Caenorhabditis elegans: one gene and its partner. The protein of the gene in region 2 interacts with the protein of the main gene of each other region in a pairwise test. Each region holds a gene or a part of one and is shown on either strand. Other genes may lie near its edges. The genes, in order: unc-101 and arrd-19.

The links.
Region 1: the proteins of arrd-19 (region 2) and unc-101 interact in a two-hybrid assay, tested with the Caenorhabditis elegans proteins (3 studies listed by BioGRID).

What each region holds. Positions count from the first base shown.
Region 1 is NC_003279.8:12,506,712-12,520,520, reverse strand, and holds unc-101 (AP-1 complex subunit mu-1-I), read right to left. Parts: upstream 12,223-13,809; 5' UTR 11,967-12,222; coding exon 11,925-11,966; intron 11,871-11,924; coding exon 11,714-11,870; intron 11,033-11,713; coding exon 10,834-11,032; intron 10,235-10,833; coding exon 9,963-10,234; intron 9,739-9,962; coding exon 9,609-9,738; intron 8,575-9,608; coding exon 8,205-8,574; intron 7,719-8,204; coding exon 7,620-7,718; 3' UTR 7,101-7,619; downstream 1-7,100. Other genes in the region: K11D2.4 (C2H2-type domain-containing protein), read right to left, coding at 1,223-1,327; mter-4 (Mitochondrial transcription termination factor family protein), read right to left, coding at 2,065-2,175, 2,576-2,650, 2,888-3,088, 3,319-3,405, 3,806-4,001, 5,869-5,933, 6,071-6,159, 6,604-6,691 and 1 more; asah-1 (Acid ceramidase subunit beta), read right to left, coding at 13,010-13,219, 13,431-13,624, 13,788-13,809. UniProt on the Caenorhabditis elegans protein: Component of the adaptor complexes which link clathrin to receptors in coated vesicles. Clathrin-associated protein complexes are believed to interact with the cytoplasmic tails of membrane proteins, leading to their selection and concentration.
Region 2 is NC_003283.11:3,306,144-3,316,919, forward strand, and holds arrd-19 (Arrestin C-terminal-like domain-containing protein), read right to left. Parts: upstream 9,099-10,776; 5' UTR 9,092-9,098; coding exon 8,907-9,091; intron 8,808-8,906; coding exon 8,702-8,807; intron 8,562-8,701; coding exon 8,399-8,561; intron 8,347-8,398; coding exon 7,531-8,346; intron 7,477-7,530; coding exon 7,331-7,476; 3' UTR 7,101-7,330; downstream 1-7,100. Other genes in the region: srbc-3 (Serpentine Receptor, class BC (Class B-like)), read left to right, coding at 2,326-2,447, 2,497-2,716, 2,798-3,007, 3,099-3,200, 3,247-3,351, 3,403-3,546; arrd-18 (Arrestin C-terminal-like domain-containing protein), read right to left, coding at 4,127-4,266, 4,321-5,082, 5,245-5,407, 5,561-5,663, 5,783-5,967; F35F10.1 (PAW domain-containing protein), read left to right, coding at 10,242-10,303, 10,436-10,560, 10,644-10,776.

The DNA of each region.
Region 1 (13,809 bases), on a different chromosome or scaffold from region 2:
GTGTGAAAGCACGAAATGAGAGCAAAACATGGATAGAAGGGGGGGACGGCGTCCTGACGATGACATTCAAATGTTTCATGAACAAAAAAAAAGCGGCGGGACATGGCAATCGACCGGTGACGAAATCTGCGCCGAGGCATCAAGGATCTAAGCTTTTTAGGCTTTTGGAAGCATACAATTCTTCGTAATAGGCGCTAAGGATTCTGCAACTCATGGAGCTCGTGGAGCATCTTAGAAACTTGTCAAGGTGTCTAGGAGTCCTTAACCCTCCGAGTGAGCTCAAGAGCGGTATCCATCCAAATTCCAGGTGCTCCGTGGATTCTTACAGGACAGTAGGCTCCTGGTTGGAGCACAAGTCTCAGAAGACTTCTAGAAGTTCAAAAGCATCTCAGCTCAGCAGTCCCTGACAATCCAGGCGCTACGAAAATTAAATTTTTCGAATATTGTGGTTCTGCGGCTCTTGGAGATCTTTGAACATCTCAGAAACTGCTCACGAGCTTCTGAGTGACTCCGGGTGCTCCTGATCCTTAAAAGACTACTGAAAGCCCGAGGGCCGAGCAGAAGGCTCAGTGATCAGCCTCACAAGTTCTATTGAAATTCGTTGTCAAATTTCTTGATTCTGCAGCTCCACGAGCTCCGTAGGGGTTTCAGACTGCCAGAAGTTCCCAGCTCACTCAGAAAGCTGGAACGATCTTCGAACATCCGAATTTCCCAAAACTCGGCTCAGTAGAATCTACGGATCTTTCCAAAGTATAGAGCTCTCGGCGAGCTCAGTCATGGTGCATCGACATGTCACAATCATTTTGTAGTGCAAAACTCACTTGCACGGGCGGTCCTAGCACCGAAAAAAGAGCACAAAAAGAGCACAAAGAAGGTTAGAATTTTCCGCTTTTTTTTGCCTTTTTTGCAAAACCGAATGGAACATGAGAAAAAAAACGGGGAAAAAGGGAACTCGTCGTTCCGTCGTTTTTTTTCGCACACAATGTTTCTTATTTTTCTTCGTTTCCTTCTTTTTTTGGTGGAGGAAAGCTGGAGATTTTTTTGTTGTTGAAGGGACCCTCGGGTGAGAAATCCCGGTGGTTGCAAGCGCGCTCTAATGATAACACCTTCACAGTGAACCGAATTTCGGGTCCCGTCACGATATGCTTCAAATTTAAAGGTGCTTAGGGCATGATTCTTGGAATCCTAGGCAGCCGAGTGTATAGTTAGGCCATCAGTTTACCTGTTGCTGGTGCATCATCAGCTCTTCGAACCAGGGAATCGAAAAATCGTGAAAGTTTTGCGAATGTACGCCGCTTCTCGGATCGTCCGCAGGGTTGGTGAACATTTCTGTAAAATATTTTTTAAAATTAAATTTACAAATTCGTGGCCTATAATTTTACATGATGGCCTAGAATATTTCAAACTCAATTTTTTTGAATTCCTCGCGCCGAGACCTTTCATTTGAGTATAATAATGTCCTATGCGTCTTTGAACTGAAATTTTCGTGGCGAGACCCGGAATTTCGTGACGAGACCCAAAGGGGGTGGAGCCTAGGCCTGATGGGTGTTATTCGAAAGGTCTCGGCGAGCTGAGTACGAAAATGATACAAATTTTGAATTTCCGCGAAAAAATATTCTTAAAAATCGAAAAAATCAATAACTCACCCTAAAAATCAATAATTTCTCGAAAGTTGTCCGTCGGCTATCGGTGCATTTTTCGAGTATCTCCCTGGGCTTTTGATACCTCAAAAAGCTGAAAATACTGAAAAAAAATAAAGAAAAATTCTCAAAAAATATTCAGGGTGGGAAACCTGTCGGAAATTGAGAAAATCGATAAAATTTTGTAAAAATTAAAAAATTTTTCAACAAGAAAACTTAAAAATCAATGGAAAAATCAATAAATAACAAGGAAAAAAATGAATTATCGATTTTTCGGGAATTTTTCGAAAAATCAACCGTCTAGAGTCAAAAATCTCCGAAAAACTTGAAAAATCAATTTTGCTAGGTATAAAAACTACCGGAATCTATCGAAAAATCAATAAAAATTAACAAAAAACGAAGGGAAATCCGTGAAAACCGGGTGCTAATTTCCATGGGAGACGTCAAAAACGTGCTCGGCGAGCTCCTGACGCTCCTTGTGCCGTCTTTCGTAGGCTTTTCGTTTTGACGGCTTGATTCGTTCGAATTTTCGTTCCTGGAAATTGCAAAAAATTTAAAATTTCTGAACTTTCCTAAAAAAAATTTTTTTCCTTGGCCTAATTTTTTACATGGTGGCCTATAAAATTCGCAACATAATTTTTCAAATTTATCGCGGCGAGACCTTCAATTCAAGTATAATCATGTCCTACTGTTCCTTTAAAGGACACATTTCGTGGCGAGACCCAAAACTTTCGCGGCGAGACCTAAAATAGGCGTTTTTGGTGTCATTTTGAAGAGCTCGGGGAGCCTAATATGAAATTGTGAATTTTTCGCAAATTATAAAGGGAATTTGAAAATTTTGAAAAAAAAATTTCCAAAAAATTTTTTTTTTTCAGATTTAAGAAAAATTTAAAATTATTGATTTTTTTTCCTATTTTCACACTAAAAAATGTTACTTTTTTCTCATTAATAGTTTCCTTGACACGCAATGCCTTAAAAACGATCCATTCCTCCATTGTGACCCGGGCGACCTGAAAATGTTGAATTTCTGAAAAAATTGGCATTTTCGGGGAATTTTTTATTTTCCGCTCGGAATTTTTAAGTAAAATTAACACAAAAATCGATAAAAAACTAAAATAAATTTGTGGAAAAAATCGATATATTATCGATTTTTCTCCCAAAAAACCCTATTTCTCGTTGATTTTCCCCAATTTTTCACAAAAAATTCTCAAATTTTCAGCAAATTTTCCAAATTCTCATCTCCTCACTTTAACAGCAAAATCCTCCTCCTTACTATCCAAAATGCTCTGTAATTTCGGATTTTCGATGCGAATTTGGGGCCGTTTCGCGTCGGGGGTCGCGAATTTTCCGGTCGCCAGCAGGAATTTGTGGCGATCAACGATTTCGTCAAACGTGAGAATATCGATCCAACCGATGCATTCTGCCACGTCATCAGCTTCAACGCCCATCTGAAAATAGCGAAAAATGGTTGGAAACCGACGATTTTAAGCCAAAATGGTTTACGTGGCCTAACTTTTCAGCTGGTGGCCTAGAAATTTCAAGACCTAAAATTTTGAAATCATCGCGTTGAGACCTTTCATTTAAGTATAATCATGCCCTACTGTGTCTTTAAAATGCACTTTTCGTGGTGAGACCCAAAATTTTCTCGCCGAGACTCAAAAAGTGGGCGGAGTCTTACCTGATAAAACATGTACTCATACTTCTCCTCAATTTCTTCAATTGGCTTTAGCAAAATCTGCGGGCAACGGGAGATGAGATGACCGGCCTGTAAAAAAATTTTTTTTTTTTTTTGAAAATTTGGAAAATTATTGATTTTCGCAAATTTTAACTGAGAAATTCGGATTTTTCAGCCAATTCTACCTCTAAATAAATATTCGCTAAGCTCCTGGTGTTGATTTTCAAAATGTCGGGTTACGGTAGCGCCAAAAGTACGCAAACACCGCGAGGCTCACGCAAAAATGCACAGAAATTCAAAACAACGAGTTGAAGCTGGAGAAAAACGCTTATAGGGGTAAAAATAGCGCAGGAATTCGAATTTTGCAATGAAAATATGCAAAAGCTAATGATTTTTGAGATTTTTCGGGGAGAAAGTGGGGATTAGGGCTATAAGCGGAAGATTAAGAAGCCATTAACTATAATCTTTAGATTAAAAGTTGTGCACTCACCTGCTTTCTGGAGAAAAATCCACCAATCTCGTGAGCCAGTCGTTGCATTTCCTGGGGGTCCCGGGCGAAGAGCAACGGTGGGCATTTCTTGATTGCCGAGCCAATTGTGCGGGGAGTCGAGATACCACAGGCGGAGAGAGCTTCAATGTTTTTGGTGATGCTGGGGGATCCGTGACGGAGAAGATCGTCCGGGAAGCTGGAAGCACGAAAGATTGGCTAACAGTTTAATTCGATTTGGCTGTTTACACGGAAGTTGAACTTTCGAAACGAATTTCAAAAAAAAAAATCGCCGTAACTTCGGAACCATGAGAGCCATCAAAAATTTGCCAACTTGAAAAATGAACCTCAGTACATAAGGTAAAAATGTTTAGCTGACAAATTCCAGCTAGCACCAACTGCTGATAAGTTATCGCTGCTTGAACCCTGCGAGTGCCAAAAGTTGGCGGTCTTTAACTAGTCATAACTCATCAGCATTAGAAGTTAGGTAAAAATCGTCCACTAACAAATTGTTCCTTATATTCTAAGGACCAAATTGTTAGTTGAAAACTTTTCGATAGCAGCTCTAGTTTTTGAGATATAAAAGTTTTTCTAGACGAAACCGAAAAACTCCCGTATCTCCAAAACTAGAAGTGCTACCAAAAAGTTGTCACCTGGAAAACGAATCTTCAGAATATAAGGAATAACTTTCCAGTTGACAATTTTTAACTAACATTAGTCATTGAAAAGTTATCGCTACATGAAAACTTCATGATAGGCGAGTGCCGATACGTTGACGGTCTTAAACTAGTGATAACTCATCAGGATTAGAAGTTAGCTGTAAATTTTCAACTAACAAGTTGTTCCTTATAATTCGCGGAACAAATTGCTAGTTGACAACTTTTCGATAGCAGCTCTAGTTTTTGAGATATAGAAGTTTTTAGAACACTTAATTTCATGGCGAATTTTCAGTTAAATACGTTGAAAACCGATTGCCGTTGGCCGAGCTCGTGGTGTCAGGCTGTCCCATTACGGTTTGATCTACAAAAAATGTGGGAATATTTCCCCCAAAAAAATGTGACGTCAGCACGTTCTTAACCATGCTAAGTCAGCCGAGAACTCTGCGTCTCTACTCCCGCATTTTTTGTAGATCTAGGTAGATCAAACCAAAATGGGAACTTCTGGCACCAAGTGTTTATTTCGGAATAACTTTTTTCAGACTTTTCTCTCGGAGGCCCAACTTTTGTGACACAAGATCCACAAAAATGTAACTGATAAATAAATTATGAAGCGAGATAGAAAAATTACGTGAAAATCATAAAATCAAATAAAATCGCGCGAGCGAAAATGTGTGAGAAAAATGAATGGATTTTTGATGATTATCGTCCTCGTTGTCGTCGCATCTCCAGCGTTCAGGGCGTGTAAAAGTGAAAGTTTCATAGCGAATCAAAAGATAAAAGTGTGAAAAAATGACTGTAGGAAAGGTGTGAGAAGGGCGAGTTGAGAGTATGATTAATTACCCGTTTCGTGTCGTCCGTCGTATCATCAAAAATATTGACGAGACCAACTTTTTCTCCAATTTGGGAAACTTTAGCGAAAAAAATTTGGGATCTCAAGGTATTTTTACATGACACCCCAAAGCCGGGGGCTTTTGATGGCCTAACTTTTCACCCAGTGGCCTAGAAATTCCAAAGCCTAATTTTTTGAATTTGCCACGTTGCCCTATGCGCCAGCTTTTTAAGCTCCAATTTTTGTTGCAAGGCCAAAATTGAAAAAATCGTGACCTAACTTTCTACCTGTTGGCCTAGAAATTTTGAAACCTAATTTTTAGAGCTTTTCGCGTCGAGACCTTTCATTTAAGTATAATCATGCCCTATTTCCCTTTAAACTCAAGTTTTCGTTGCGAGACCCAAAACTTTCGCGGCGAGACCCTCCCTAGGCATGATGGGGGTCATTCAAAAGATCTCGGCGAGCTGAATTTGAATTTCACATTCTTAAAAAGCCATATGGAAATTTAGGTAAATAATTTTGAAAAATACATTTTTTTTCCTCAAAATATCCGAATTTTTTCCAAAAAAAAGACTTACAGTGCCAAAAGTCGAATCGCATCCTCAAAAGTGACATATCCAACATTGACAATCGTCTCCAAAATCTGCAAAAAACAAAAATTTCTCATCTTATCTCAATTATCCGTTCTTATCAAAAATTTCCGCGAAATTTCTCCCCTCTCTCTAAAAATTTTTTCCCAAAAATAAATTGGTTTTTCTACAGTACCCCATCCAAACGTACCTCCAGTGAGGCGCCAGGCTGTGAGACAATTGTACGGAACAGTGTGGCGTTTTTTGTGTTCGCATCCAGCAGAAATTCGCATTTTACACCTGAAAATTGTGGGATTTTTGAGGAAAAATCGATAAATGTCTGAAAAATCACTGAAAATTTGATTTATTATGGTGAAAGATGGCTTTAAATTAAAGAAAACTACGTTAAAACGCTCAAAAATATAGTTTAACTCAAGAATTTGAAATCCCCGCCAACCACATTGCGCAAGTGCGCTCCATGGATAAAACAGCCCAAAATCAGGATTTTTGCGAATTTTCAGACTCAAAATGCTTGAAAATCGTCTGTAAAAACATAAAATTCGCCTAAATTCCGTGTTTTATTTCAAAAATTTGAATTTCCCGCCGACCACATGTTGCAAGTGCGCTCCACGGATAAAATGCTTCAAAATCTAGTTTTTTTTGTTTTTTCAGAGTCAAAATGCTCAAAACCCTCGATTTTTCGTTTTTTCAAATTTTTCACTAAAAAAAATTAGCAAAACCTACCATTTTCCAAAAGTTTTTCGAAAACTTTTGCCGATTCCTGTCTGGCAAAGGAATCTCGACCGGGAATCACAAAATGTGTGCCAGTTTTCTGGAAAAAATTGAATTAGAGTTGGAAATTTGAATTTCCCGCTAATGCAAATGCGCTCCAATGCAAAAAAAAGTCCAAAATTAGGGCAAAAATTCAAATTTCGCGCCATAAAAGCGTGATGCAAGTGTGCCCCAATGCTAAATCTTCAAAATTTTCAAATTCCCGCTTTGCCGAACCTTCAAATCGTCCACAATTCGATCCATCAACGCATTTGGCGCAAAAGTCCGCAAAGTGTCGTCAGATGTGGTGCATTGACGCGAAAATGCAGAAATTCGCAAATTTCGACGAAAAATCGGCAACAATCGGCGCATTTTCTGGCAATTTTTTGCATTTTTTTCAGTGATTTTTCTGGAAATTTAGACAATTTTTGAAATGGAATTTTTAGCCCCCGGAAAACATTTTGTAAACAATTATGACAGAAAATTTATTGATTTACTGAAAAAAGGAAAACGGGAAAAATTGATGAGGATCCATGTGGTGAGAAAATTATGCTGGTGGGAAAGGGAAAAAACTCGTTTTTCTGGAAAAAATCTAAATTATGCGATAAAAATCAATAAATAAATCGGTGGGAAAAATAAAATAAAAATTTTCGAACAAAAAAAAATAGAGTTCGGGGTCATCAGGGGAAAGAGCACACACAACACATGTTTTGAGCCGGGGAGCAGCTCGCGGAGCATTAAATTTTCACAGAAAAAATTGGAGATGTTTGACATTAAAAGAGGCAAAAATTGATGGAAAACGGGGCCGTGGCCTAGGATTTTCGAAAAGTTAGGCCACCACTGGAAGCATGGTGGCCTAGACCTCCAAATTTTCCAAAAACTCGGCCACGGTCGTTTTTCACCAATTTTTCATAAAAAATTCCAAAAATTAAGAGTAAAATTGGGAATAAAATACAATAAAATATGAATTTAGGTAATTTTTTCAGGAATTATTTCATCCGCATCTCGTATTCTCCATTTTGAGTAATGTAGCGGACCCACGGCAATGCTTGATATCCACTTTTCTCGATGATTTTCAGATAACGGACCTGAAAATTTGAAAATTAGGGTTTACTTGGTGGAATTTATGGGAAAAATTGAATTTTCAAGCCTTTTTTTTAGAAGATTTTATCACCCTTAAACACCAAAAAATCACATAATTCTCAATTTTGAGCCGTTTTCTCCGTGGAGCGCACTTGCAATATGTGGTAGGCGGGAAATTTGAATTTTTGAGTTAAAAAGTCAAATGTTAGGTTTTTTCGAGAAATTTGCATCATCTTGACGCAAAAAAATCACAAAAATCTGCATTTTGAGCAGTTTTATCCGTGGAGCGCGCTTGCAACATGCGGTCGGCGGGAAATTCAAATAATCTAGTTGAAAAGTCGGATTTTTAAATAATATCATGTGTTTAAATGAAATTTTCAGCATTTTAGAGCGAAAAAATTACATAAATCTCAAAATTGGGCAGTTTTTGGCGGTGGGAAATTTGAATTTTTGAGCTAAAAAGTCGAATTTTAAGCGAAAAATTCGGCTACCTGAATGCCGCTGGTCGTAAAATACGGAATTTCAAATTTGACTTTAATCGGCGGCCGTCCTTCAGACTCTTCACTCATCACAGACGGTAGAGATAGATGGGCGGTCAAAAGGTACTCTTTTCCGCCGGGAAAATTCTTAATAGTCCATACGAAGGCCGATTGCTCGGGCGTATACTTCACCGAACCGATGCTTGTCTTGAATTTCGGTGAATCAGCGTCCGACGGGACTGGAATAATGATTTCCACGTTATTAGCAGTGGAGCGCCGTTTGAATTGTGATTTCGCTTTGATTATAAACGAGACACGGCTGTGACTGTGACGTTCGATGCTTGTCTCGATCCAGATCAGCGGCTTCACCACGGTTGTTAATCTGAAAAAAAACGGTATTTTTCGAGAATTTTCAGGAAAAATTGGAGCTTTTTGAGGTAAAAATCGAGTTTTTCGACACAAAATTGAGGCATGGCCTGACTTTTTACCTGAAAACCTAGGCCACGCATGTAAATTTGCTTTTTTTTTATTTTTCAGTGTTTTCAAGCTAAATTTGGCCTAGTGATCAACTTTTTAGACTCAAAATTAAGGTGTGGCCTAATTTTCTACCCGAAAACCTAGGCCGCAGGTGTATTTGACTTATTTTTTAAGAAAAACCAACAATTTTGATCCAGACACACAGTTTTCAGCAAAAAATAGAGTTCGGCAACGAACTGATCAGTGGTGGCCTAACTTTTGCGAGAAACTAGGCCACGAGTGGAAATTTGCATGTTACGTGTTCCATTTGTTACAGTTTTAACGTGTTTTTACAGAAAAATCGAGCTATTGTAGTAAAGAAGCCGAGTTTTTAGCCAAAAAATAGAGTTCGGCCATGAATTGGCCAGTGGTGGCCTAACTTTCTTGTAAAATCTAGGCCACGTATGCAAATTTGTATTTTTCTAGAATTTTTCATGTTACTGAGCTCTTCTTCGTCTGAATAACGAGTTTTTTGACCTAAAAGAACCCAAAAACAGGAATCGGCCTTTGGTGGCCTAGTTTTTTCCGGAAAACCCTAGGCCACGTAAGCAAATTTGTATTTTCTACACCTTATAATTGTTTTTCGAGCGTTTTTGGCATAAAAAAGCAGAAATTAACTCGAAATTACAACTCGGCCACGAACTAGGCTATGGTGGCCTAACTTCCAAAAAACCTAGGCCACGTGGGTAAATTGGCATTTCCTAGGATTTTCTGGCATTTTCAGCTTTCAAATCGAGTATTTAAGCCAAAAAATAGACAAAATCAAACTTCGGCCACAGATTAGAAGTCGGTGGCCTAACTTTTCGAAAAAACTAGGCCACATCACTGAATTTCCGTCAAAATCATGCGAAAAACTCGATTTTTCGGTTAAAAATCCGATTTTCTCCACTTTTTTCGTACCGATAGCTCATAAGCTCAAATGCTCCGTCGGGCGGTATGAAGGAGATCGTTCGATCCGTGTCAAAACGCGACAGGCGTACACATTGATGAAATTTCACGTCTTCCAGTTCCACAGATTTGCTTTTTCCGCCTGAAAATCGAGAATTATCAATGGGGCGCGATTGTAGCGGTAGGAAGTTTGAATTTCAAGTTGCAAACGCGCTCCATTGCAAAAATTTAAAAAAAGTCGCATTGGAGCGCAATTGAAAAACGCTAAAAACTTTAAAATTGTTGAATTTTAACAAAATTTTATCGATTTTAGGGTAAAATTGCCTGAAAAATCTCAATTTTCGCATAAAATTCGAAAAAACTCACGTCCACTGCCCTCAAAAAGTACTTTATCGTTAAGACCCAGCCGAAGTTCAGGCATTCCGGTAAGATAGACACGCATTTTAACGCTTCCAACAATTTCCGATTGAAGTACGGTACCGTTGGCGCTGGCCAACATGTTCACACTTTCGATTACGTCCAGGAAAACCTCGTTTTTTCGGTATTTTATGCCTTCAGAGCGCCATGAGACGGCATTTGTCACTGCCATCGGGGGACGGGGTGCCGAAATTAGTTTTTGACCTTCTTGTGTGATGTATCTGCAAAAAATTGGGGGGTTTTTTGATTGAAAATTGAGGAAAAATCGATGATAATTTTGCACAAAAATTCAAATTTTCGAGTCGAAAAACACATTTTGAACAGGAAAATTGCGCTCCAATGTGAACTTTTGCGATTTTTGCATTGAAGCGCGTTTGCTGCATGTTGAATGCGAGAAAATTGAAATTTTCAATGAAAATTCAAATTTCCCAGCTGCAACCGCGCTACAGTGCAAATAATCGCAGTGGAGCGCGTTTGCAAATAGAAATTCAAATTTTCGAGACAAAAGACACATTTTGAACAGGAAAATTTGAATTTTTGAATTCCCCGCCACTGCAAATGCGCTCCAATGTAAATTTTTTGCGATTTTTGCATTAGAGCGCATTTGTGATTGGAAATTCAAAATTTTAGGGTCGAAAATACATATTTTGACCCAAAATTTAAAATTACTGCTATCGCGCGCTGCAAATGCGCTCCAACGCTAATATTTGGCTATTTTCGCATTGGAGCGCATTTGCAGCAGAAAATGAAACGATTTTTCGTGCGGGAAATTCGAATTTTTGAGTAATTTTTTTCAATTTTTCTCGTTTTTCCTCCTTACTCTTGTAGAATTCGACTCTCAGTCGTCTGTGGGAACCCGAAATCCATCATTTCGTCCAAAAGTTCATAGATAACGACAAAATTGTCGCGAACCGACTCCTCTTCGACATCTTTGAAATATTCGGAGAAAACTTCGACGCATTTGTACAAAAATGACAAAATCATTGTGACGTTGACGTTTGAACGGCATGCTGAGACCACTGAAATGAGGGAAATTTGAATTTTTGACTGGAAATTCTGGAGAAAATGACTGAAAATCCGTTAAAAATGGGTGTTTTATCATTGGAGCGCGCTTGCACCCGCTGTCGGCGGGAAAATTTCCGGAAATTTACAATTCTGGCTCAAAAATCGTGAAAATATGTCGAAAAAGTGTGAAAAATGACGAATTTTTCGCAATTTATCGACTTTCTGGCAGAAAAGCTTGATTTTTGAAACAATTTTGCTCCTTTTTTAAGATTTTTACCACATTTCAAATAAACTACAAAATGGAAAAATTACGAAAATCGCAGTTTTATTGATTTTAGTCAATTTTTACGAATATTCGGCTTTTTTTGAATTTTAGCACTCGGGAATTCAGAAAATCAAGGAATTTTTGAATTTTTCTGACTTTAAAATCAAAAAATTGAATTTTTTTGGGTTTTCCGTTATTTTCAAGGGATTTTGTTACTTTTCACTGTTTTTCAACTCATTTTTTAGTTTTAAAACGTTATTTTCAATTTGAAAATGTTAAAAACCACAAAAAATTGCACTTTTTATCGGTTTTTGGCTTGAAAATTCAAATTTCTGACCAATTGCGTCATTTTCAACGGATTTTCTTCAATTTTGCCATTTTTCTATCTAATTTTTGATTTTAAATTCAATTTTTCACACAAAAAACCCACAATAAATATTTGTGTGCTTGATAAACACGAAATTCGTGTCCTGATAGGTCAAAACGGGCGCTGCCGAGCCTTCTTCCTCTTTTTCCATGAGTAAATGAATGAATTTATCGATTGCCGTCATGTCGATGTCTCCGCGATAATTTCGAGAAATTATCGTCTGAAAAATGCGAAAATTGGCATTTTCCGACGTGAAAAACACTAAAAAACTCACTTTTCCCTTCAAATCCAGTATAAACATGGCGGAAGTCGCCATTTTCGACGATTTTTTGCGATTTTCTCGTTAAAATCGTCAAATTCCACGTGGCAGCTACTGGAAAATACTGAAAATCCGGAGAAAATTAGCGGAAAACGGAGGAAAATCGAAGAAAATGAGTGCAAAGATGGATATCGGCTGCTGGCGGGCACGCCCTCTTGCAGTCTGCAGTCTCTTCACTTTATATACTCTCTCGGCGAGTGACGGAGCGGCAGCAGCGGTGCAGGAGGCCTTGGAGACGGATTAATTGGATGGAAAAGGTGGAGAATTTGGTTTATAGCGGTTTTTTCGCGAAAAAATGGAGAAAAATACCGAATTTTGCAAAAAATCGACTTTTTCGTCGGAAAAGTGCAAAAAATTAAGTGAAAATCGACGAAAATCGGTTAAAATTCTATTTTAAAAATTCAAAACTGAAACCAAGGGAGCAAAATTTAGGTGTGCGCCTTTAAAACTACCGTACCTTATTTTATTGGACAATAATGACAAAAACTGGCAATTTCCGCCAGAAAATTGAATTGAATAATTTGAAAATTGAATTGAAATAAAAAAAATTTGTGTAAAAATACTGGAAAATCAGTTTAAATTCATTTTTCTAGTAGAAAATTCCACAAAACCACCAATCGCTACGAGACTCAGAAGAAATATTTAGGCATGCGCCTTTAAATCTACCGTATCCCATTTTTAATAAAATTGTGACGAAATTTGAATTTCAGGAGGAAAACTTGGTTAGAAACGAAAAAACGACGAAAAACCATAAAATTAGCAAACAATTATTTTTTAAATGTAAAATTCCACAAAAAGCAATAACTTTGGTAACCTCGATAAGTTTCGGTGCATGCGCCTTTAAATCTACCGTAACTCATTATTTTTTTCCAGCGGGAAAATTAAAATTTTTAATTTTTGTTTAAAAAAAACCAAAAAACTCTAAAATTTTTAAATTTTATGAAAATTTCGTTTTCAAACAAGAACCCATCAAAGTTTATTTACAAAAATGAAAGTTTATTTCAATGAATCATTGCGTATATGAGAATGTTGAATCCAATCTACCATGGATAGCATTCTCCCGGGCAGGATTGAAGGATGGTCTCGAAGCGAGAAGTCTCGACGGACATGAGGACGGTGTAGGTGGTGAGCTTATTCAGGTTGGTGCGGGATGACAAGACGTTGAAGATTCCCTCGAATCCGACGTTCTTCTGGGTCAACTTGTCCATGCAACGGAATCCCGGAGTGTCACGGTCGTCAAGGTAGAGGTCCTGGAAGAGGGAAATGTTGGATAAGTTAATTCCGGATAGGTTTTGACAGATTTTTGATCAAAATTTCTAGCTAGGAGTTCGACCCACTCAAAAAAAGAAGCTGGGTTCAAAATACTAGACCTAGGCCTAGAGAAGGACCTCTCCTAAAAGTTGGGCCCCTAGATCCGTCTACCAGAACCTACTCTACACCTTCAACTCTAGCATCTCTCACCTCGGTTCCCTGATCGTAGTTGGTCTCCAACAGGTACCATCCGTGTGGGGATGTGGCCATCTCGGTGAGAAGTGCGGTCTTGTCGAGACTTCTAGCGATGATGCATCCCTCGTCCTTCTTGGATCCTCCGAGAATGAAGTAGACTGGTGAGAGCATTGGAGTGTTCATCAAGTGCTCCTTGGCGTCGAGGTAGGCTGAAAGCTCGGGATATAGAGCCTTTATGGATCTCAGACGGATCTAGCCCAATGGATATTAGAAGCAAAGATTAGGGACACTTGAATCTAAGCCTAAGCTTCCTGGAAATCAAAGCTTCCGAATTCTAAGGATCTAAGTCATCAAGAAAACAATTCAACTCACTGGTCTTAGTCTCGAGGGTCTC
Region 2 (10,776 bases):
TAGCGTAGTCCACATTAAAAAAAAACAAAATCCGAAAACTACATCTATAACGAGAAGCATTTCTTAACTTACGTGAACTGACTTTTACAGAAAAACTGCCCATCTCGCTTGTGTCAAACCAATATGTGTCAGTAAAATCTTCTCTTTTGGACATCTTCATCTGCAATCATCTATTATGTAAGGTGTAGCTCATTTTCAAAAATCTATTGCAAACTTACACCAATGAAAAACGTTTTGAATTTTGGATTAAGAATCATCAATTCGTCATCTTTCGGAATATCCGAGCAGTTCTGTAATTAACAACTAAAAGAGCTAGGATGATTTTTTAACCTTTAGAGAATCATCGGTACACATTTCTGCTTTTCCTTTATTGTCGATAATTTTATACATTTTATACATGGTCATCGCTACTTCATCTACATACATTTCAGAAGAGTCCACCAATTCGAATTTCCAATAAATCTGGAGCAAACTTTCCAATGAATTAACGGAATGGAAAACGTACCAATCCGTCCTCATTTGGTTTTATCTTGTGTATAAATTCAGTCTTTCTAACGGGGAAACCTTTGAAGTAATAAAACTTGACCTTTCGTTCCATATTCTTCACGAGCCATGGTTGAATTTTTGTCCCATCATTGTTGAGCCGTGAGTACTCGTCGCTTGTAACGTTGTACTCAAATGTTGCGTATTCTGTGACTGTTCCATCCGTTTTTTGATTCAATATAATAGACTTTTTCGTTTCTGTGAATGATGTCGAATAATTCTCTGAAAATGACTACATCAGAATAGTTATAGCTTTGTAAATTCTCACTAGGGGTATTTTCTTCCGTTGCATTATTCGCAGATGTTTGATTCGCAAGAGAACCTGAACACATAAATCACTTTACTCTTTCACAGAAATTCCCCGTTCTTACCGTGTTTGCTTTCTTTATTTTTCTCAGCAACTCCGGAAACTCCGAAAACAATTGGCGATGTTACGAACAGGATTCCAATGACTACTGTAGCTATCTTAGCAATGGTCTTCCAAGGATCACTTGATTGTGATCTTAAAATTATATAAAAATTATCTTATTAAGTTACCTGAAAACCAAAAATTTGTTAGCCCAGGCCTTTGCAAGTAATCCAAGGGCTCGATGCAAACAAAAAATGAAGACATACCTATTTGAATTGCCTACCAACAGTGGATCGTTTTGTGAATACACAGGGTCTTGTGGAGACATTTTCTTTTATTTTTTCACAAGAGATAGACTTCTCGAATGCGAATATAGTTTTCTCGAAAATAGAAAAAATGAATAAAGTTCTCTCTAAAAGAATTCAGTTGTATCCCAAGGTCAAACAGACAAAAACAAAAAAAAAAAAAAAAAAAAAAAAAAAAGAGTTCAAAAAGTAATTCATTTGCGAGATGTCTGATCGAATGCTACAAAAACATAATTGTGATCTTTAGCGTCTCCTATCTTGTAAATTGTGAAATGGGAGATATGAACATGGCGATTTGCGGTAATGTCACCGTTGGAATAGTTTAGGAGACTGTAGGATTACTGTAATTTCAGAAAGAAATAACTTTAAGCTTCTGAATGAAATTTCAGATTAAGTTGAGTATTTTAATATTCTTAAATTCTTAAAGTCCCATTTTAAAAGTTGGTGCTAATTATATTTTTCAGAAATCGCCATTTCAATCTGCGAACGTATTTACTTGTGCTCGCAGAATTCTATAATTTTTCATAGGTATTCGAGAATTCTGACAAATACCCATATTAAATAATCCCGGCGCTGAGTTACTCGGAAATTGGATTGAAAAAAAAACATTCTGATTTTCGCTCTTTTCTTTTCTTTGTTTTCGGCTTCTAGTTTCTGCGTGATTATGAAAAATATAGAGGTACCCGACGACTGATCAAACTTATTTGAGTCCAAACGTAACATGTTTATGGGTATAAATGGCACAAAAGCGGTCTTAATGTTTATTTTTTGTGTTTAATAAAATACCTCCATATATCTTAACCCTTTTTTAAATTCTCTCAGTTTTTCTCCATCAGAGGCACGTGGTATCTGTGAATTCCCTACATCCACCACAACTTGTTAAAAAGGTAACAGCATAATAATTATAACTCAGACAACTGAAAAAGCTTACTATTAGAAATAAGTTTTGATAAAGAAGGTGTAATTACAGACCAATTTTTTTTTCACAGATCTTTTCAAACAAAACATTTGGTCTCTTTTTGAGCCTTCCGAAAGGCGCATGATTTTTTGTTCAACTTTTGATCCAACTTATAGTCTAATAGTAAGATATAAATTAGAACGAAAATAAATTATATTTTAGTTAACAAAATGACATCTCTTGAAGAAGGCCCTCTGATGAGTGTGCCCGCTGTGCTCGTAACATCAATTGGGGTGATTTCTTCTGTTTACACAACAGTTATGAACGTCTATTTTATAAAAATGACTGTAAAGTTAGTTGAGCTCAGCCATATTAATATTCAGAAAATAAAAAAAATTTAGAACTCGTAAGAATATGATTCTCTTTTTCTACCGCCTCTTTCTCGACGTGGCGTACAGTGCTCTGGGTTGTGCCTATATGACGTTCTGCATTTTGTATTCATATTTTACTGTGGAGCTCCGAGAGCAGCAAGTTTTTATTCTTTATATAGGGTTTCCACTCCAAACTGCAGGAGCTATGAGATCAATTGTGGCTGTGGCGATTTCTCTGGAAAGGGTCTTGGTGAGAATCCAATTTTTATATTTAAAAAATCTTTTTCAAATAAAAAAAGTTTAAAAAGGGACATCTGAGATCAAGTTTCAGGCCATTTACACCCCAATTATGTTTCATAAGTATCGCGATTCATATCCTTCTATAATTATTCTGATGTTGGCTATTAGCCTGTCAATGTTTGAAAATCTTCTTATGTACCTTTTTTGTACTATGAATATATCCGCAATGCCAACAGACTGTGGAGTTTTGCGATGTTCAGTTGATCCTTGTTATTTCGACTTTTGGACAACTGATAGAGCGGTAATATTTTGAGATTGAGAGACCAAAATCAATTTCGACAAAGCAGAAGGCATAAAAGAAGAATCATTCGAATGATTTTTCCATGTTTCAGGTGATATTCGCTTTTAACATTGCATTTTCCGGTTTACTCTCAACAAGACTGCTAATTTTTGATAAATCACTGGGTCATCATGCTAACAGTGAGCATTCAAAGGTAAATGTTCTTGTTATGTAGAGATGTAACACTATTAGAATCTCAGATAAATCATATTGCCTTGGTCGACGCTGCCAACGTATTTCTATGTGATTTTGTGCCAACAGTATCCAATTATGTTCTTCCTAAATTTCCATTTTCGAGCTTCAAGGTCTTGTGGCTTTCCTCATTTCAGTAATATATTTTCTTAATTTTTTTGCAGAATATTGGCCCATACGTTTATATTATAAAGCTTGTTGGAAGTGCAGTAGAATCATATTTTATTTTGAATATTTTGAAGAGAAGAAGCGCTCGAACAAGTATTGCAATAGTAACGCATACTAATCGAAATGAGAGAAATTCGTGAACATTCTAACCCTTTAGTTTCTATAAAAAACTGACATTTCATCAATTTCATCCAAAAAGGCTTATAATTCTCCAAATAACTCCAGGCTACTTGCGAGCTTTGAAGAGTTCAGCAAGAATCTCAAAAAAGCCTGAAATCTTCCTCCAACCAGCCCGCCTCACGCCGGCCTCTGGGCTCATTTCTGCACTATGACGAGAAGTCAAAGTCTTGGTATTCACACCACATAGTGCCAAAGGGTGGTTTTTTTTATGCGGCCGACACTTTTCGGGTTAGGAGCCGCACCAAGGCGTGAGGCAGGCGGAGGTCGCCGCAAAGCGAACGCGGCGGCTTGAAACAGTCTGAATCTGTTGGGACCTGTTGAAAGCTTGAGCTCGCGTCTCGGAATTTCAAGCTCAAATTAAAATTGAAATTCGGAACGAGTAGGCAAGCGGTAACGAAAACAAGTAATTTATTAACTTATGCATTGGGAATTTGAGAACAAAACTTAACGGGGGACAAACAGTAAATACAGGCAAAAAAGCGAACAAAGTGTTTTTGAACAATTCAAGGCGAAAAGCAGGCTGACTCAGATTAGAATTTGTTACTCTGGAGGCGGAGCAGTTGGGTTATAGACTGGCAAATTGTTGAATACGGGATATTTCGGAACATATGGTCCATTCTCTTTGGCGTCGAGCACGGTGCCTGCTTTACCATACATTGATTCTTGGTAGGACGGTGGTGCTGAAAATTTGTCGTGTGATCATTCTATAAATGCTACAAATCTGATCAACTTACCACTTGGAAGCACTGCAGTGCCATCCTTGGTCGGATCTTCGTTTGGGTTTGGAACTTTCTCATCATTGACATTAGGATAGAGGTCAAGTGGATACGGTGCATCGGCGCCTTTCTCGGAATCGTCGGTCGGTAGAGGTCCGTAACCGGGCGGTGGAGCTCCAATCGGAGTTGGCTTGCTCGGCGGGAGATTTGGATCCTGTTGATAGTAGGCAGGTGGGAGGTACTGGTGAATAGGAACGGATCCAAGTAAGATTGACGACTCGCAACGAACTAGACCGTCTACATTGACTTGTAAAATGTACTCTACCGTAATCACAGGAGAGAACTGATTGATGGTTGGAGTTACAGACGGAATACGGAGTTCCAGCACGAACTTGTGCTCATTTTTGGCAGGCACTTCCAGTTTCTGACATACCTTGACGACCTTCTTCGTGTCAAACTTTATTCTTTGGATTTTATCGGACATTTTTTCATTTCTTTCAAAATCACCACCATAATTGTAAGTTGCACCACTTTTGTATCCAGTGAACTTGCACTGCTGCAGCATTTGCGCTTTGATGTTGTTAACACTGGTCGAGGAGTGATTTATAAGATGGACATTCAGGGGAACAGTTTCGCCGGGAACAAATCCAGTTTTTGGGATGTTCAAACTCATCTCGAGAATTCCCCCTTGAAAGCAACAGAAACTGATATTTTCACTGGCTTGGTGGTTGATTTGAGTGAGCGAGTGCGGAATGACATTGAGATCAAGCAATGGAGAAACTGAAAAATACTTTTGGAATTTTCAAGATACTAGTGGCTAAAAAAGGCTTAATCTGATTTAATTTGGGCCTGATACCAAATCTACTTTCTGTGAAAGAAGTCTACTTCGGTTTTTTAAAAGTATATTTCTCTATTCCACCAAAATTTATGCATAACCCTTACCAGTAATGCACATCTTCTTGGCTTTGTCTTTACGCCATGGCCGATCCACTTCAACCTTCACAGTATATCTCACATATCCATATTTTCCTTCGAAGCTTGGTGGAATACTGGTGGGAAGAGTATAGGAGAATGGCCACACGTATTCTCCAGCTGCCAATTCGTTCTGAAATTATATGTTTCTTATTTTGAACTCAAATATATTCTGGGTCTCGCTGGGAGCTCAAACTTCCCACCCAAGTAGATAAACTTTTGTTTTTTAATAAACAGTTATGTGTATAAAACTAAGAATTATTATTTTGTTTTTAAAAATACCTACCTTTCCATCTTCGCAAGTCCAAAGAAGCTGGGTGTAGTCGAGGTAGTTCACATTTGCGGAGTAATGAATTGATCGTGGGCGGATCGAGATTGAGCTGCCATTACTGAATATTAAATAAAATTGGATGAGAAAACAGTACAAGTTTAAAAATTTTAATTCAGCCGATAAAGATTACTAAATTAAATTATATATGTAACTTCTCAGAGTTTTCGAATTCCTTACAATTTGCAAGCATTTTCGTAGTTCTTCCAGCTGGTGTGAGCCAATCCCAAGATCTTGATATTCACCGCCCGAGCCTTATAGTTTTCTTTCGTTGTGAGCACCACTCGCCCGGAAATCGGCTGTCCCGGGAAGAACACTTCGTCAGGTTGATCGAATATAACTTTAAGTAGCTCCGTTTTTGGCATGATAACCCTGAAATAAAGAACAAGTCATGAGGAAATTCGGGGAAAAAAATAAGATAAGAGTCTGAGGAGATAACACAGAAATTTGAGCATAGGGTTTAAAAATATTCCACTTTTTTCGGAGGTTCAGAAAATGTTTGTAAAAAATATGATTTGAAATGAAAAATGTACATAAATGATAATGATTTGATGATTAAAAAATAATAACAAAACAGTTGAATTTCAAAAAAGGGTAAGCATTAGACGACTAGGCAAAAACATTTTTTGCGAGCAACGGAGGGAGAAAAGGCGATTGAAACGAACCCAGCAGACACATGCACTCCGCGCCTCACTGACCCATAGAGAGCCGCAGAGAAAAAGAGGGAACAGCGGGGAAAGAGAACTGGTCAAAGAACAATGTTTTCCATTCAACTAGTGAAAAAGAAACGGATACAGCGATAGGTTTCTGAGAGAGTCGAAAAGATAACAGAAACATTTTTGAAGAATTTTATAAAAGACAATACTTGAAATTTGCAGTGCTCATTTTCTCACAATCAGATAATCTTCAAAAAGCATCAATTTTTATGTGTTGAGCCGCAGAGTGGACCTACAGAGTGTGGACACATTTTGGCATCTTCTCTTGCCGAGCTTCTTCCTTTTTGGTGCGGCCGAGGAGGGTGCACGAGCCCTTGGTGTATGATAAATTGGTAAAAGGAGCGCGCTGAGAAAGAGAGAATACTTAAAGGGACGTCAGAAAATAAAGAAAAAGAGAATGAAAATAAGAAACTTATGCAGGAGACCTGCAGGAGAGTGGATCATTTTGTTGAAGGCTATTTCGAGAACAGCAAATTCGTTGAGCAATTAAATTGCAGGTATGGTTTCTATTGACATTGAATGTGGGTCATCATCATCATTGGGAATTGAACCCGCCATGGAAAATTGTTGAGAAATGCTCTAAAGTTTTCATAAGGAAATTCAATATAGGTACGTTTGTATTATTTTCCCTCATATTGAAAGTTAATTAAACTTCCATTTATTTATCCACTCTAATAAAACGTGATGTCCATTTTCCATCTTTAGACTTACTTAACTGGATGCACTTTCAACGATACTTCCTTTTTGTTGGGAAAATTGTTATACATATAAGAGTTTCCCACTACAACACTGTATATCAAACATATACTTTTATTAAAATCACAAAATTTTTTTATGATTTTATTCAATCGTTCGTAATGTGTGCATAGTTTAATAATTTATGCATAAAAAAACAAGAAAAACTTACTACCGAGGGATAAATAATACAAAGTATATAGAAAAATCCTTTAAAAATCAATATTTTGAACATTATGTGACGAAGACAAAGCAAACAGACTCATATTAAAATATGCTACTCTGGAGGTGGCGCCGTTGGGTTATACACAGGCAAATCGTTGAATACGGGATATTTTGGAGCAAATGGTTGTGCATTTTCATCAGTATTGAGCTCGGTTCCTTCTGTTCCATACATTGATTCTTCGTAGGATAGTGGTGGAGCTGAAGACATATAAAATTGAATAGTAATACATACAATGATTCTGAGTAACTCACCAGATGGGACTACTACAGTACCATCTTTTGGCTCATCCCCGCTTGGATATGGAGCAGGCACATCAGATGGATAAGGCGGACCAACTGGATATGGTGTATCTCCGGCTCCATTGTCTGTACCATCAGTCATTGGTAAGAATCCATATCCTGGTGGTGGGACGACTCCAGCTGGAGCAACTCCAGCCGGAGCAACTCCTCCTCCAATTGGCGTTGGTTGGCTCGGCGGAAGATTTGGATCCTGTGGGTAGTAGGCTGGTGGAAGATATTTGCTGATAGGGACTGTTCCAATTAAAATTGACATTTCACAATCGACGTTACCCCCACAAGTCGTGCTAGTCTCCACGTGGAATTGCACAATGTACTCTACAGTAATCACAGGGGAGAACTGATTGATGGTTGGAGTCACAGACGGAAGACGGAGCTCCATCGCAAACTTGTGCTCATTCCTGGGAGCCACTTTCATTTCCAGACCCTGCTTGACAACGGTCCTAGTGTCGTGTTGTGTTTCCTGCAGCATTCCGGACGTACTGGTCTCGTAACCTCCGTCATAAGTGACTGTTGTACCGTTTCGGTATGCAATGAACTTGCACTGCTGAATGATTTTTGCCTTGACTTTGGTAACGGGTACGGAGGAGTGATTGAGTATATGGATATTCATGGGGACAGTTTCACCGGGAACGAATCCCGTTTTTGGGATGTTTACACGAAGCTCGAGATATCCCTTTGTGAAGCAACAGCAACCGAGATTCTCACTTGCTTGGTCGTTGATTTGAGTGAGAGCGTGAGGAATGACATTGAGATCGATCAATGGTGAAACTGAAAAGACATGAAAATATTGAGACATCCTTACTTATTCCAGTGATCATACCAGTGATGCATCGCTTCTTATCCTTATCCACACGCCATGGCCGATCAATTTCAGCTGTCACTGAATATCTCAAATATCCATATTTTCCCTCGAAGCTCGGTGGAACATTGATAGGAAGAGTATAAGAAAATGGCCACGCGTATTCTCCAGCTGCCAGTTCGTTCTGAAATTTTTTATATGGTACAACTATTTTTCCTATAGAACAACTCTATTTTTGACTAGGGTAACTTAATGTTTCAAAAATGTAAAAATATGTTCAACAAGTTAAAATCGAATTTTTCAAAAATGTATCAAAGCTCTTACCGATCCATCTGATGAAGCCCACAGAAGCAAGCTATAGTCCAGGTAGTTCACATTTGCAGAGTAGTTGACTATTTTTGTCTCGTAGGTTTCTTTGCCTTCGGCGTTACTGAAAAATCATCATTTTACAATTTTGAAAGCTTTTATCTTTTTTTTTCAGCCTTATCAGCAGTAATGATAAATTTATAAAAATTTAAAAATTTCTCACACTTTGCGAACTCTCTCGGTGTCCGTCCAGCTAGTGTGAGCCAATCCCAAAATCTTGATGTTCACTGCGCGTGCCTTGTATTTTTCCTTTGTCGTTGAGAGCACCACTCGCCCGGAAATCGGTTTTCCCGGGTGGAAAACTTCGTCAGGTTGATTGAATATCACGTGAAGCTCTGTATCTGGCATGGGAACTCTGAAACGAAAATTTAAGACAAAAATTGAATGAGAAAACTGGAATAAAATCGGATATGAGCGCAATGGAAACGGAGAATACTGAGATATTGAACAGAATTTTTCGTAAAGTATTGCCTTGAAATAAAACTTACAATAACTTATTCGTTTTTATAAAAAGATCGACATAGATTTTGCAAAAAAAAGCGCATTAGATTTTGTCGTAAATTGTAGTGTTTGCGTACATATCTGCTGGCTCCGTGCCAAGAGAAACCAAACAGACACAGGCGTACATCGTGAAGGACATTCACACTCCGTGTCTCTCTGACCAGTTGAGAGCCGCAGAGAAAAAAGGGAACAGCGGACGGAAAGTCAAAGAACATGGTTTCCATTCAACCAGAGAAATAGAAACGGCTAGGTTTTTCTAAACTAGAAAAGTTGGAGAAAAAGATGGCTGAAATAGTTTTGATCAATTAATATACAGTGCTAATTTGTTCAGTGACAAAAATAATTTTTTATAACATTAAAAAGCATTGAAAACTATTTTCTCAACTGAACTTTATTAGCAACTTGGCGTGGAAAGTGAAGTAAGGTCGGTGGGGTTTTTTTTTGGTTTCTGCCAAAAAAATAATTTATGCTGGAATATTGCGTTTCGACTCAAATAAAAACATGATCTGTGATTCCAACATTCAGAAAAAAGTGCGTTAAATTGCCGTTTCCCGAAACACGGAACGATATTTTTGAAGGACACGAACAAATTCTAGTAGAGTTGAAAAGACACCTAAGATCGCATTCTACGACCAAAACTGTTCATGTGGCCGCCAAATAGGTGCAAAAGTGTTCAAATATTTGGGGAACATTTTTCTAGTGACTTATATCCATTCTTCTGAGTGTGAAACACATGTTTTTTGGTTTATTTGGGAAAGTCAGAGAGTTTTTTCGAGGACCTTTGATATCGTGCTGAGACCCAGCATATCCGGTGCTACTTTTTGATCTATTAAAAATGTGTGCGTTGATTCAATTCTTTGTAACCTGTCACAAGATGTCTATCAAATATCACCACTTCCTGTTGTCGGAGAACTAGTCGTTTCGATCTTGACCTTGGAGCGATGAGAAGTTCTTATAAGAAGAATTAAATTCGTTCTAAACACTTTTCGTGGCGGCAATGTCTTCTCAAAATCCTACGAATGCACAATACTCTGCTCTGTCTTTGGGTGGACCATTAGGGTAAGTTCTTTGAAGCTATTTTGGGGTAGTGTCGGGATACTATGGTTGTCACCGTTCATTTTCAATTTTCGAGAGCCGAATCATAATAAAAGCCCAGAACTTTTTTCTTGCAACTTCCCAACTAATTTCAAGATCGCCACCAAGTCACCCTGGAAAGAGCATCGCAAAAATAACTACCGCATTCATTGGAGCTCTTGTAGTTTCAGCAACAATTCTCGTTGCCTTGTCGGGAACTACTCCTTCTTCCCATCTTGCAGGTGAGTTTTTGTTTGCTTTTTCAAAATTTTAATAATAATTTACATTATAATTCTTTCCTTGTTAACTATTTTGATATTTTTAGCACCAAGTCATGAGGTTTTAGCAACACAGGACGAGCCTATCCAGTTGGAAAACGACTCACAAGACAAATACGTAGAGTTTCGGTACGATCCAATATCTGGAAAGTATTCACACGTAAACAATGATGGTTCAAG